Sus scrofa: one gene and its partners. The protein of the gene in region 1 interacts with the protein of each later gene in a pairwise test. Links are inferred from orthologs where the notes say so. Each region holds a gene or a part of one and is shown on either strand. Other genes may lie near its edges.

The links.
Region 2: the proteins of UBE2L6 (region 1) and ARIH2 interact in binary tests that used the Homo sapiens proteins (3 or more experiments, as listed by UniProt). The link is inferred for Sus scrofa from reciprocal best matches to the Homo sapiens genes UBE2L6 and ARIH2.
Region 3: the proteins of UBE2L6 (region 1) and RNF125 interact in a two-hybrid assay, tested with the Homo sapiens proteins (3 studies listed by BioGRID and IntAct). The link is inferred for Sus scrofa from reciprocal best matches to the Homo sapiens genes UBE2L6 and RNF125.

What each region holds. Positions count from the first base shown.
Region 1 is NC_010444.4:13,364,001-13,366,583, forward strand, and holds part of UBE2L6 (ubiquitin/ISG15-conjugating enzyme E2 L6), read left to right. Parts: intron 1-2,141; coding exon 2,142-2,328; intron 2,329-2,583. UniProt on the Homo sapiens protein: Catalyzes the covalent attachment of ubiquitin or ISG15 to other proteins. Functions in the E6/E6-AP-induced ubiquitination of p53/TP53. Promotes ubiquitination and subsequent proteasomal degradation of FLT3.
Region 2 is NC_010455.5:31,573,023-31,576,676, forward strand, and holds part of ARIH2 (E3 ubiquitin-protein ligase ARIH2), read left to right. Parts: intron 1-68; exon of another isoform or gene 69-69; 5' UTR 70-133; intron 134-2,582; 5' UTR 2,583-2,677; coding exon 2,678-2,926; intron 2,927-3,654.
Region 3 is NC_010448.4:115,856,393-115,860,595, forward strand, and holds the start of RNF125 (E3 ubiquitin-protein ligase RNF125), read left to right. Parts: upstream 1-1,304; 5' UTR 1,305-1,668; coding exon 1,669-1,832; intron 1,833-1,901; exon of another isoform or gene 1,902-2,144; coding exon of another isoform or gene 2,145-2,260; intron 2,261-4,203. UniProt on the Homo sapiens protein: E3 ubiquitin-protein ligase that mediates ubiquitination and subsequent proteasomal degradation of target proteins, such as RIGI, MAVS/IPS1, IFIH1/MDA5, JAK1 and p53/TP53.

The DNA of each region.
Region 1 (2,583 bases):
CCCAGCTATGAACCTGGGTGTACAAATACCCGTTCGAGTCTCTGCTTTGAGTTTTTCTGAATAGATACTACGAAGTAGAAGTGCTTGATCATATGGTAATTCTGTTTAATTTTTTGAGGAACCGCCATATCGTTTTCCACAGTGGCTGCAGAATTTCTTTCCTAAGCCCCTGACTTCTTTTGATTTCCTTATTTTCTCCTTTTCCAAGCACCCAGCAATGACATTCTCCTGTACTTGCTAAGAGCTCCCTAAGAGAAAGTGTCTATCCGTGTTCCCATTGTAGCTCAGTGGGTTAAGAGCTTGACTAGTACCCTTGGGGACGCAGGTTCGATCCCTGGCCTCCCTCAGTGGGTTAAGTATCCAGGTTTGCCACGAGCTGCACATAGGGCTTGGATCTGGCATTGCTCTGGCTGTGGTGCAGGCCAGCAGCTGCAGCTCTGATTGGACCCCTGGCCCAGGAACTTCCATATGCCACGGGTGCAGGCATTAAAAAAAGGAAAAATGTCCATCCTTCTCTTCCATAATTCTCAGATGTTAAAGCTGAGTTGACTGTTTGCAGCAACATGAATGGACTTAAAGGCATTATGCTAAGTGAAATAAGTCAGACAGAGAAAGATAAATATTGTGTGATCTTACTTATATGAGAAACCTAAAAACAAAACTCATAGGAAAAGAGATCAGACCTGTGGTTGCCAGAGGTGGAGGGTGGGGGAAGGGAAAATTGGATGAAGGCAGACAAAAGGTACAAACTTGCAGTTGTAGATAATGACTTGGGATGTATTGTATAACATGACTACAGCTAACACCACAGTGTGATAGGCAGGAAAATTGTTGAGAATAAATCCTAAGTGCTCTCATCACAAGGAGAAAAAATTTTTTCTTTTTTCTTTTTCTTTTTTTTTTTATTATTATCTATATGAGAAGGAGGATGTCAGCTGAACCTACTGTGGTCGTCATTTCACAGTATATTTAGTTCTCATTGTGGTGCAGCGGAAACAAATCTGACTAGTATCCATGAGGATGCAGGTTCGATCCCTGGCCTTGCTCAGTGAGTCTGGGATCCGGTGTTGCCATGAGCTGTGTTGTAGGTTGCAGACGCAGCCTGGATCTTGCATTTCTGTGGCTGTGGCATAGGCCAGCAGCTGTAGCTCCAATTCAGCCCCTAGCCTGGGAACCTCCATATGCTGTGAGTGTGGCCCTAAGAAGCACAATGTATTTAAATCAAACCATCATGCTGTACACCTTATTATTATTGTTATTTTGGCTTTTTAGGGCCACACCTGAGGCATATGGAAGTTCCCAGGCTAGGGGTCGAATTGGAGCTACTGCTGCCAACTTACAACACAGCCACAGCAACACAGGATCTGTGCCGAGTCTGAGACCTACACCACAGCTCACAGCAATGTTGGATCCTTTAACCACTGGATCAAACCTGCATCCTCGTGGATACCAGTCAGCTTCATTTCCACTGAGCCACAACGGGAACTTAAACTTAGTGATATATGGCAGTTATATTTCAATAAATCTGGAAAAGTGTAGATATAAATTTATAAGTGATATATATATAAATGATATATAATAAAAATTAGTATAATTATCAATATAATAAAAAGAAGCTGAGATGGTCTTTAGGGCTCATCTAACCAAACTTGACTATTTTTTTTTTTTTTTTTTTTTTTTTTTTTTTTTTTTTTTTTGTTGTTGTTTTTTTGCTCATATGAGTTCAGTAGGTCAATCGAGCTGTAACGCTACGCAGACACAGCAACGCGGATCGACCGCGTCTGAACTACCATAGCACGGCACGCAGATCGTTAACCATGCCAACAAAAGATCGGAAAAACTGGACGGGACCTATCAGAGGACTGATGAGAGGCAGCTGGTTGTTGGTTGCACCGCAAAAGCCTGGGTCTAGCTCTTGGGACTGCCAGGCCCCGTGTCCTTTTGGGACTCCACTCTTTCATGAATCCACAGCTCAGTTGCCAGGTGAATACAGGTGCCATGGGTGTCCCTGTTTATGGGTCTTCCTCGGAGTGGAGCAGAGGATGCCTGGGACCCTAGGGTGGGGGGCAGGGAGAGGGGGAACCCAGACCAAGGGCCTAGGAGGAAAATGAGCTTTTCAGAGTGGCCCTTCTCTTGCCCAGGAGAAACCGCCCTACAACCTCAGGGCCTTCAACCTTCGCATCAGCTTCCCGGAGGAGTACCCATTCAAGCCCCCGACGGTGACGTTTACAACTAGGATCTACCACCCCAACGTGGACAGCGAAGGCCAGGTGTGTCTGCCCATCATCAGCAACGAGAACTGGAAGCCCTGCACCAAGACCTGCCAAGGTGGGCTGGGCCCTGCCAGAGGAAGGGACCCATGCTGGATGGGGTCAGAGGACCGCTTTTGAGTTAGAATAGCCCAGAAGGGAGGAGATAAAAATTGTGAGTCTAGGCGTTCCCATCGTGGCTCAGTGGTTAACGAACCCAACTAGTATCCAGGAGGACTCAGGTTTGATCTCTGGCCTTGCTCAGTGGGTTAAGGATCCGGTGTGGCTGTGGCTGTGGCGTAGACTGGCAGCTGTAGCTCTGATCAGATCCCTA
Region 2 (3,654 bases), on another chromosome or scaffold:
AAAATAAATTAGCAAATTTAGGGTACCAATTTAAAAGTATATAAATAGAATTATATCTCTTTATTTTAGATGGAAATTATACAATATAGGCTATTTGGGTGACATCTTCCTGAAAGATCTTCAAGAATTACAGGTATTTTTAATTTAAATTTTAAATTTTAATTAAATTTTAATTTTCTCCTAAAGGAAAAAAAACCATAGTTGAGTTCAATTGTGATTAGGTGGTTCTGCCATACGAAACAATTCATTAAAAGTCAAATTGCGGAGTTCCTGTCGTGGCGCAGTGGTGAACGAATCCGACTAGGAACCATGAGGTTGAGGGATCGATCCCTGGCCTTGCTCAGTGGGTTAACGACCCGTTGCCGAGAGCTGTGGTGTAGGTCGCAGACGCGGCTTGGATCCTGCGTTGCTGTGGTTCTGGCGTAGGCTGGCAGCTACAGCTCCAATTAGACCCCTAGCCTGGGAACCTCCATATGACGCAGGAGCGGCCCAAGAAATGACAAAAAGACAAAAAAAAAAAAAAAAAAAAAAGTCAAACTGCAAGTATGTTAACTGCCCTCTCATTAACGTGACTTTTTTAAAAGAAAAATTCGAGCATTTGTATGTAACATCAGACAATGATATTTTTATAATATCATTAAAATGTAACTTGGGAGTTCCTAAGGTTCTGCACTGTCACTGCTGCAGCTTGGTTCACTGCTCTGGGGCAGGTTTGATCCTTGGCCTGGGAACTTCCATATGCTGTGGGCTTGGCCAGATGAACAAATAAGTAAAATGTGGCTTGGTAGTCCTTTTGACTGGCCATATCTTCAGGACACATTCATTTAAAAATTTTGGTTTTAATTATAGTTGATTTTTTTTTTTTTTTTTTACTTTTTTGGCCTAACCACAGCATATGAAGTTACCAGGCCAGGGATCAGATCCAAGCTGCAGTTGATACCTAAGCTGCAGCTTTGCCAATGCAGGATTCCCAACCCACTATGAGGGGCTGAGGAATTGAACCTGCGTCCCAGTTGTGCCATAAGGGGAACTCCTGTGGTTGATTTTTTTTCTTTGGAGAGATTATCAAACAGGTTTTTTTCTGTTTTTGTTTGTTTGTTTGTTTGTTTTTTTGCTTTTTCAGGGGGCACCTGTGACATATGAAAATTCCCAGCTAGAGGTCAACTCAGAGCTACAGCTTCTGGCCTACACCACAGCAACAGCAATGCCAGATCTGAGTCTTGCCTGTGACCTACACCACAGCTCATGGCAACACCAGATCCTTAACCCACTGAGCAAGGCCAGGGATCGAACCTGCATCCTCATAGATACTAGGCAGATTTGTTTCGGCTGAGCCACCACAGGGACTCCTAGTTTTATATTTAAATCACTATTTAAATATACAATGATACTGTTCATTGGAAATGATCACATGAAGTAGTTCTTGTGTAGGGAAATTAATGGGTATTTGCAAAAATCTTCTCTGAGATGAAATTTAGGCTTGTGATTGTTTTGCTTTCTAAACTAGTAATCTCTTCATTTTTATGTAATTGAGTAACATTTTGATCTGTGAGGATTTTTCAGTAGCTAGTTGCATTTGATCTCTTATTTCTTCATGATAAGTAGATTCTGGCTTTTCCTAGCTATGATCCTGTGAAAGCAGAATATTTAGTTTTCTTTCATTACTGGGCCAGTTTCTTTGCTTCTTAGTGCCCCTTTTAAAGGATTAAGTAGAACCTTTTAAAATAGAAAAATTATTTAACTTTGCAGATAGGAGGAGGAGGTTGAAGAACTATTTGACTTTTATTTTGTCTATACTGTGCACCTTTTCCCCCATATATCTGACAGTGATGTATGTAAAACAATATTATTCTTTCCCTAGATATTATAGTGGGAAAGAACTGTCTGTGTCACCTCTCAGTGGGGCATGATAGGCTAAGAGATTTTAAACTTTGGTAGTTCAGCCTTTAGGTTGTTTCCCTGTGGGCACCAGCTGTGGGGATGTGCTTCTCTCTTAACTCTGGCAGGAGGGACACATCCATGGGGGTTTGACTCCTTGACATAGAGCACACAGCCTTACTCTTTCACACCAGACCCTTCATGTGAAGTTACCATCGTTAACTGCTTCTGTCCATCTGGGAAAGGGTCTCCCTTTGAAAGCCTGGGCAGGGAGATGTTGAGGTTTCATGTATGAGAACAAAGTTAGAATAGGCCATATAATGCAGGTAGGACTAGGGCTGTGCTGCTTTCATTTTTCTTTTTCTTCTTCTTCTTTTTTTTTGGGGGGGGGGTCTTTTTAGGACCACACCTGAGGCATATGGTGGTTTCCAGGTTAGGGGTCGAATCAGAGCTAAAGTTGCTGGCCACAGCAACACTGGATCCGAGCTGCATTTTCAACCTACACTATAGCTCACGGCAATGCTGGGTCCTTAATCCACTGAGCAAGGCTAGGGATCAAACCCATATCCTCATGGACACTAGTCAGGTTGGTTAACCACTGAGCCATGACAGGAACTCCACCATTTTGATTCTTGAATGGTTTCTGTTATAACTTTTCATAGTGAAAGTTAATTAACACTTATTTTTTTCTTTTCCTCCCTTAGAAGACAAAAACACTAATGTATTTGAGAAAGTGGTAAAGTTTAGGGGGAGGGGGAAAAACCTGCTCTCCTGATCTGCATCTTGGCTGGATGTTAAGATGTCTGTGGACATGAATAGCCAGGGGTCTGACAGCAATGAAGAGGACTATGACCCAAATTGTGAAGAAGAGGAAGAGGACGAAGACCCTGGGGACATAGAGGACTATTACGTGGGAGTAGCCAGCGATGTGGAGCAGCAGGGGGCTGATGCCTTTGATCCTGAGGAGTATCAGTTCACATGCTTGACCTACAAGGAATCCGAGGGTGCCCTCAATGAACACATGACCAGCTTAGCCTCTGTCCTAAAGGTGAGCAGTGTTGTCAATTTCAAGAATAATCCCCCCAATTAAATCTAAATATGAGCTGTTGCTAACGTCTCCTCCAGAATGATTGACCTGTATCTTGAAACCAAATTTAAGTATATGTTGCATCATCTGGACACATTCGATGCATCTACTTTGTTTGCTAATATGTACATAGCTAAGACCCTCAGATTCCCAAACTACTAAAAATTAGAAAGAAGGAGTGGGGTGGATTTAGGAAAGATAGTCCAGAAGTATGTAGACGCAAAACTGCATAGATTAACACTTGTTTGAGAAAGTGTCATGAAACTTTCTGAGGTAAGATAGGATAAGCATCAGAATCACCATATTTAGAGTTCCTGCTATGGCACAGCGGTTAAGAATCTGACTGTAAACACAGGATGCCGTGGAGGCGTGGGTTCGATCCCTGGCCTGGGAACTTCCGTATGCTGTGCCGTGGCCATAAAATAAAAAAATAAATCAATAAAATAAAAGAGTCACCATTTCAACACACTCATGTATCGGTGACTGATAAATGTCTTAAGAGAGGTACTCACATCTGTCGGTTTGCCCTGAATAATCAGTGCTTCTGGGCTAATGATCTTATTTATTTCATATACTGATGACTAATGTTTGATGTTGAAAGAAATTTTAGTAGTAACTAAGAATGAAATAAGTTCTTAGAGCTTGTATTTCATTGATTTTTGGGGGGATTGTAAAATGGAAATTTTATA
Region 3 (4,203 bases), on another chromosome or scaffold:
CTAACTGGTTTCTCTGCTTCCATTCTTGTTCCTGTCTTTTCCAAACCACACTGCAGTCAGAGTAAATCAAATCACAGCACCTGGAATAAAACCCAAATTCTTGGTCCTACCCTGTGTAGGATTGGGGGGTAGATTAGGCCCCGTCTCTGCTTCTTTCTGGCTTTTGTTAGTGGTGTTCTTGCCTGGCTCCATATTCCAATGCTTGGCAGGCTTCTTCCTAAATCTATGAGTGGCCGACTCCTTTTCATTATTCATAACTCTGCTAAAATGTCACTGCATCCAAAAAGCCTTCCCTGACAGTCTTATCCTTTACCCCCCTCACTCTGTTTTATCTTCTTGGCTCTTATCATCTGAAATGAACTTGTTCACTTGTTTATTTGTTGATTACTGATATCTTTTCATTAAAAGTAAAGTCTGGGAAAAACTGGGTGAAGTTTATCGGATTGTTATGTATTATGGTCTGTGTATATTGCCTACGTAGATTATGTATTACCACGGACGATTATTATTATTATTATTGTCTTTTGCGAGCTGCACCCGCAGCATATGGAGATTCCCAGGGCTAGGGGTCTAATTGGAATTGTAGCCACCCGCCTAAGCCACAGCAACGCCACATCCGAGCCGCCGCCGCTGCGATCTACACCACAGCTCACGGCAACGCCGGATTTTTAACTCTCTGAGCGAGGCCGGGGATGGAAGCCGCAACCTCATGGTTCCTAGTGGAATTCGCTTCCGCTGAGCCACGACGGGAACTCCAGATTATTTTTTACAATAAGAGTGTGAATCTATAATTACCTCCAAAAAAAATCTTTTTAAGGTCTGTTAAGACTGGGCTTTTGTTTGCTTGTTGGAAACTGTCCACTTCACCAGAAAGGAGTCTGGCATACAGCGGGCACTAAATAAGTCTTATTAAATGAGTGAATTAATAAATGATATATTTGGTCGTATTCAGGAGGATGGAGAGGGGAATACAAACAACATCAGGCGATCCTAAGGTGAGGAAACTGGGCCGGGGGCGGGAGTAGGAGGGGTCCTAGGATTTGGCACTAGCATCCCTGCCCTGGGGTTGGGATTCGAGTCCAGGTCCCAGAACTCTCTCCACTACTGCAGCTACCTCTCCTTTATGGATTGTTCATTAGGTGACTGAAGCACTGATGAGCACTTTCTTAGAAGACGCTCATAGCTCAGCTCTGTAGCCTCTTATGATCACAACAGTACAGCACTGATAGGGCCATCACCTTACAAGTGGATGTGCTCTGATTCCCTGCGCACATGACCACGCCCGCTCTTTCATTCACTTCCTACAGTGGTTCGAAGAAGGATGCGCGCACTTGGCTGGAAGGTTCACTGCCTTACCAGGTCCTCTGCTCTGCAGTTGAGGTGTCAGGTTTCAATCCTCCCAGGGGCCCGGGACGTCGCAGCGTGCAATGTGCGGCGGCCGCCTCCGCCTCCACGCCTCAACTAAGGCAGCTGGCAAAAGCTAGTCTCAGACGCGCGGCCGCGCACTCGGCGCCGCGGCGGAGGCTGCTTCTGAGCTGCACTGGCTGGGCGCGCTGGGAGGCGGCGATCGCAGCTGGGCCGGGACTTCCTTCCTCCACCGCTGGACAACAAAACAAGCAGGCAGCAGGCACCAAGCTCTTGGCCGCTGGCTGGGCGGGAGGCGCAGCAATGGGGTCGGTGCTGAGCAGCGACAACGGAAAATCCGCGCCCGCCTCGGCCACCCCACGGGCCCTGGAGCGCAGGGGGGACCCCGCGCTGCCCGTCACGTCCTTCGACTGCTCCGTATGCCTCGAAGTGTTGCACCATCCCGTCCGGACCCGCTGTGGCCACGTGTAAGTGCCAGGGAATCTGGGTTGGCACGCCCATCCCTTGGGGAGAGCGATGTTAGGGAAGCGGTGGGATGGGAGGGAGGAAGGGTGGTTCCAGAATACAAAGCTTGAAGGAAACTGCTGCAGGAAGAGACCTGGACCCGTCGGATGCGGTTCATGGGATAAGGCAGAAGGTGACACAGGGTTTCAGGAGGAGAAAACAGCAACAGGCAGCCCCCTAGAGCCGGCTCCTCCTGAAGTCCAGGTGCGGAGACCCCGAGATGGGGAATCCGGGCGCGCGAGCCGCGGGGAGCCAGGGCTCGCCTGCCGCGGAGGATGAGCTTGCTGGAGAAGCAGCACCCTCCTGGGCCCAAGGCGGAGGACTCCCTCAGAGCAGTTATCGCGCTCAACTCAGTTAATCCGAGGTTCTTCCTTCTCCGCCCAGAACCCAGGTTGGTTTTGTTTTGCGGGCTCTGTGCACGTGTTCCAGAACGCCCGCTGAGGTCTCATGAGAAAAAAAGGGGGGGGGGGCCTCTGTCCTTCCTTCCCCACCTCCCTTTTCCCAACTCAGACACCCAAATCCCTCAAAAATCATCAAACTGGACCGTCCAAGTGACTTTCTGTAGTGGTTAGAGCTTAACAGCCCTCCAGGGTGGGGTCTGGGGCTTGAACCTTACCCCTCAAACCGGGGAATGGAGCCGTTTAAAACCCAAGTAACCAAGTGGCGGAGGTTGCAACAGACTACCTGCCTTGCGCACCGCCTCCCACATCGGTAGGAAGTAGAGATAAAAATAACTGTCTTAAAAACCACATGCATACTCTTTAACTAAAATTCGCTGTTAGTGCACAACCGTGGTAGTTTCTAGGAAGAGTTTAAAAACAAAATCCCTGTGTAAAATTGGCACGTCCTTAATGTGTTAATGTGTGCCTGAATAAATACTAGTGGGAGTTGGGTCTGTGAATTTGTGTGTGCCTGAATGTGTGAGGGTGACTTGTGGGGGGAGGGATTGCGTAGAGCAAAAGTGAAAACTTACCCAATGTCTTCTTTGGCCCGCGGACTAGTTTGGTGACGCTCCAAGGCAGTATCCTAATGCTAATAAGCACTTTTTGGCTTACCAGGAAAAAAAGAAGTATCATATTATAAATGCAAGTGCACAAAATATCTTTAAGGGATCTAGGTGGTCCTTGACACCTATAGCCTAAGCAACTGAGAAGCAGTTTTTAACACTGAAAAGCCCAGAAGAAAGCCAGAGAGAAAAAAATCTGCAGCCCACACAATGTTTAAAGAAAGAGTACCCTGAGCATTATTTTGTGGCTGTATTTTCAGGGCCTGTTGTTTCAGCTTTGTACTTTAAACTCAAGACTAATTTACCTCCTGTCTGATTACTGATGTTGCCCAGCTGTCCAGATGTAGCTCATTGACATAATTCCCCAAGGCCAAGACAGGAAGCCAAGATGTCATTGTGTAGGGTATGAAATACATTGATTAGCTCAGGTCAGAAAGAACCTCAGGATAACTACATTTAAATTTAGTCTAGATTAGTGTTAAAACTTTTAAGTTGTACCAGAGACAATTGGGTAGCTTTGCAACTGGAGATTGTTATCTGATTGTTTTCCCTGGTTTGGATTTTGAATGCTTATAACTTGTTTGCATTGTTTTGCTTCTGCTAAAGGGTAATATAAATTTGCAAAATGTTAAATCTTTTGTTTGGTCTTTTTCTTTGTTAGAATGAATAGGAAACTAGCAACTGGAAAAATAGTCATGAAGTAGCAAGCACAACAAGGGCTGGATAAATTGCCTTCCCTCACTTTACTGTTCTTTGTTTTGACAAATCTATGTCCATTGTTCTGGCCGTAGGCAGGATTTCCATATTCCTCCTTTTGGCAAACTTACTTGGGCCCCTTCCACTTTACAAATGTTAACTAGAGTCCCTTCTGCACTGGAGATAGTGGGCTCTCTTTAACACCATTTGTCCTTCCTAAATGAATTACTTTCTTCCACTGAACTTAATTGGAAAATGAGGAAATGCAAATGAACCTCTGTGTTATCTCATATATAAGCTAATTATAAACCTATTCAAGTCAAGCAAGTGTAATGGCCACGGTACCTTGAATGAATATGTATATATGGATTGCGATGTAGTAAATCAGCGGGCGTGATAGAGAGCAAAGTCTGAAAATCAACCCCACCACTAACTAGCTGTGTAACCACCACATTGCTTGGTCTTTTTGAATCTCAGTTTCTTTATTTGTAAAATAAGGTGGGTAATGGAATTTTTATGAATACTTAAAACGCCTATAGTAAGACTCAAAACATAGTCTCTGTCTCCATCAAAGTCTTTTCCTAAAACAAGGAAACCCATGAATCGATATTATTTCTTATCTTTTTGTTCTT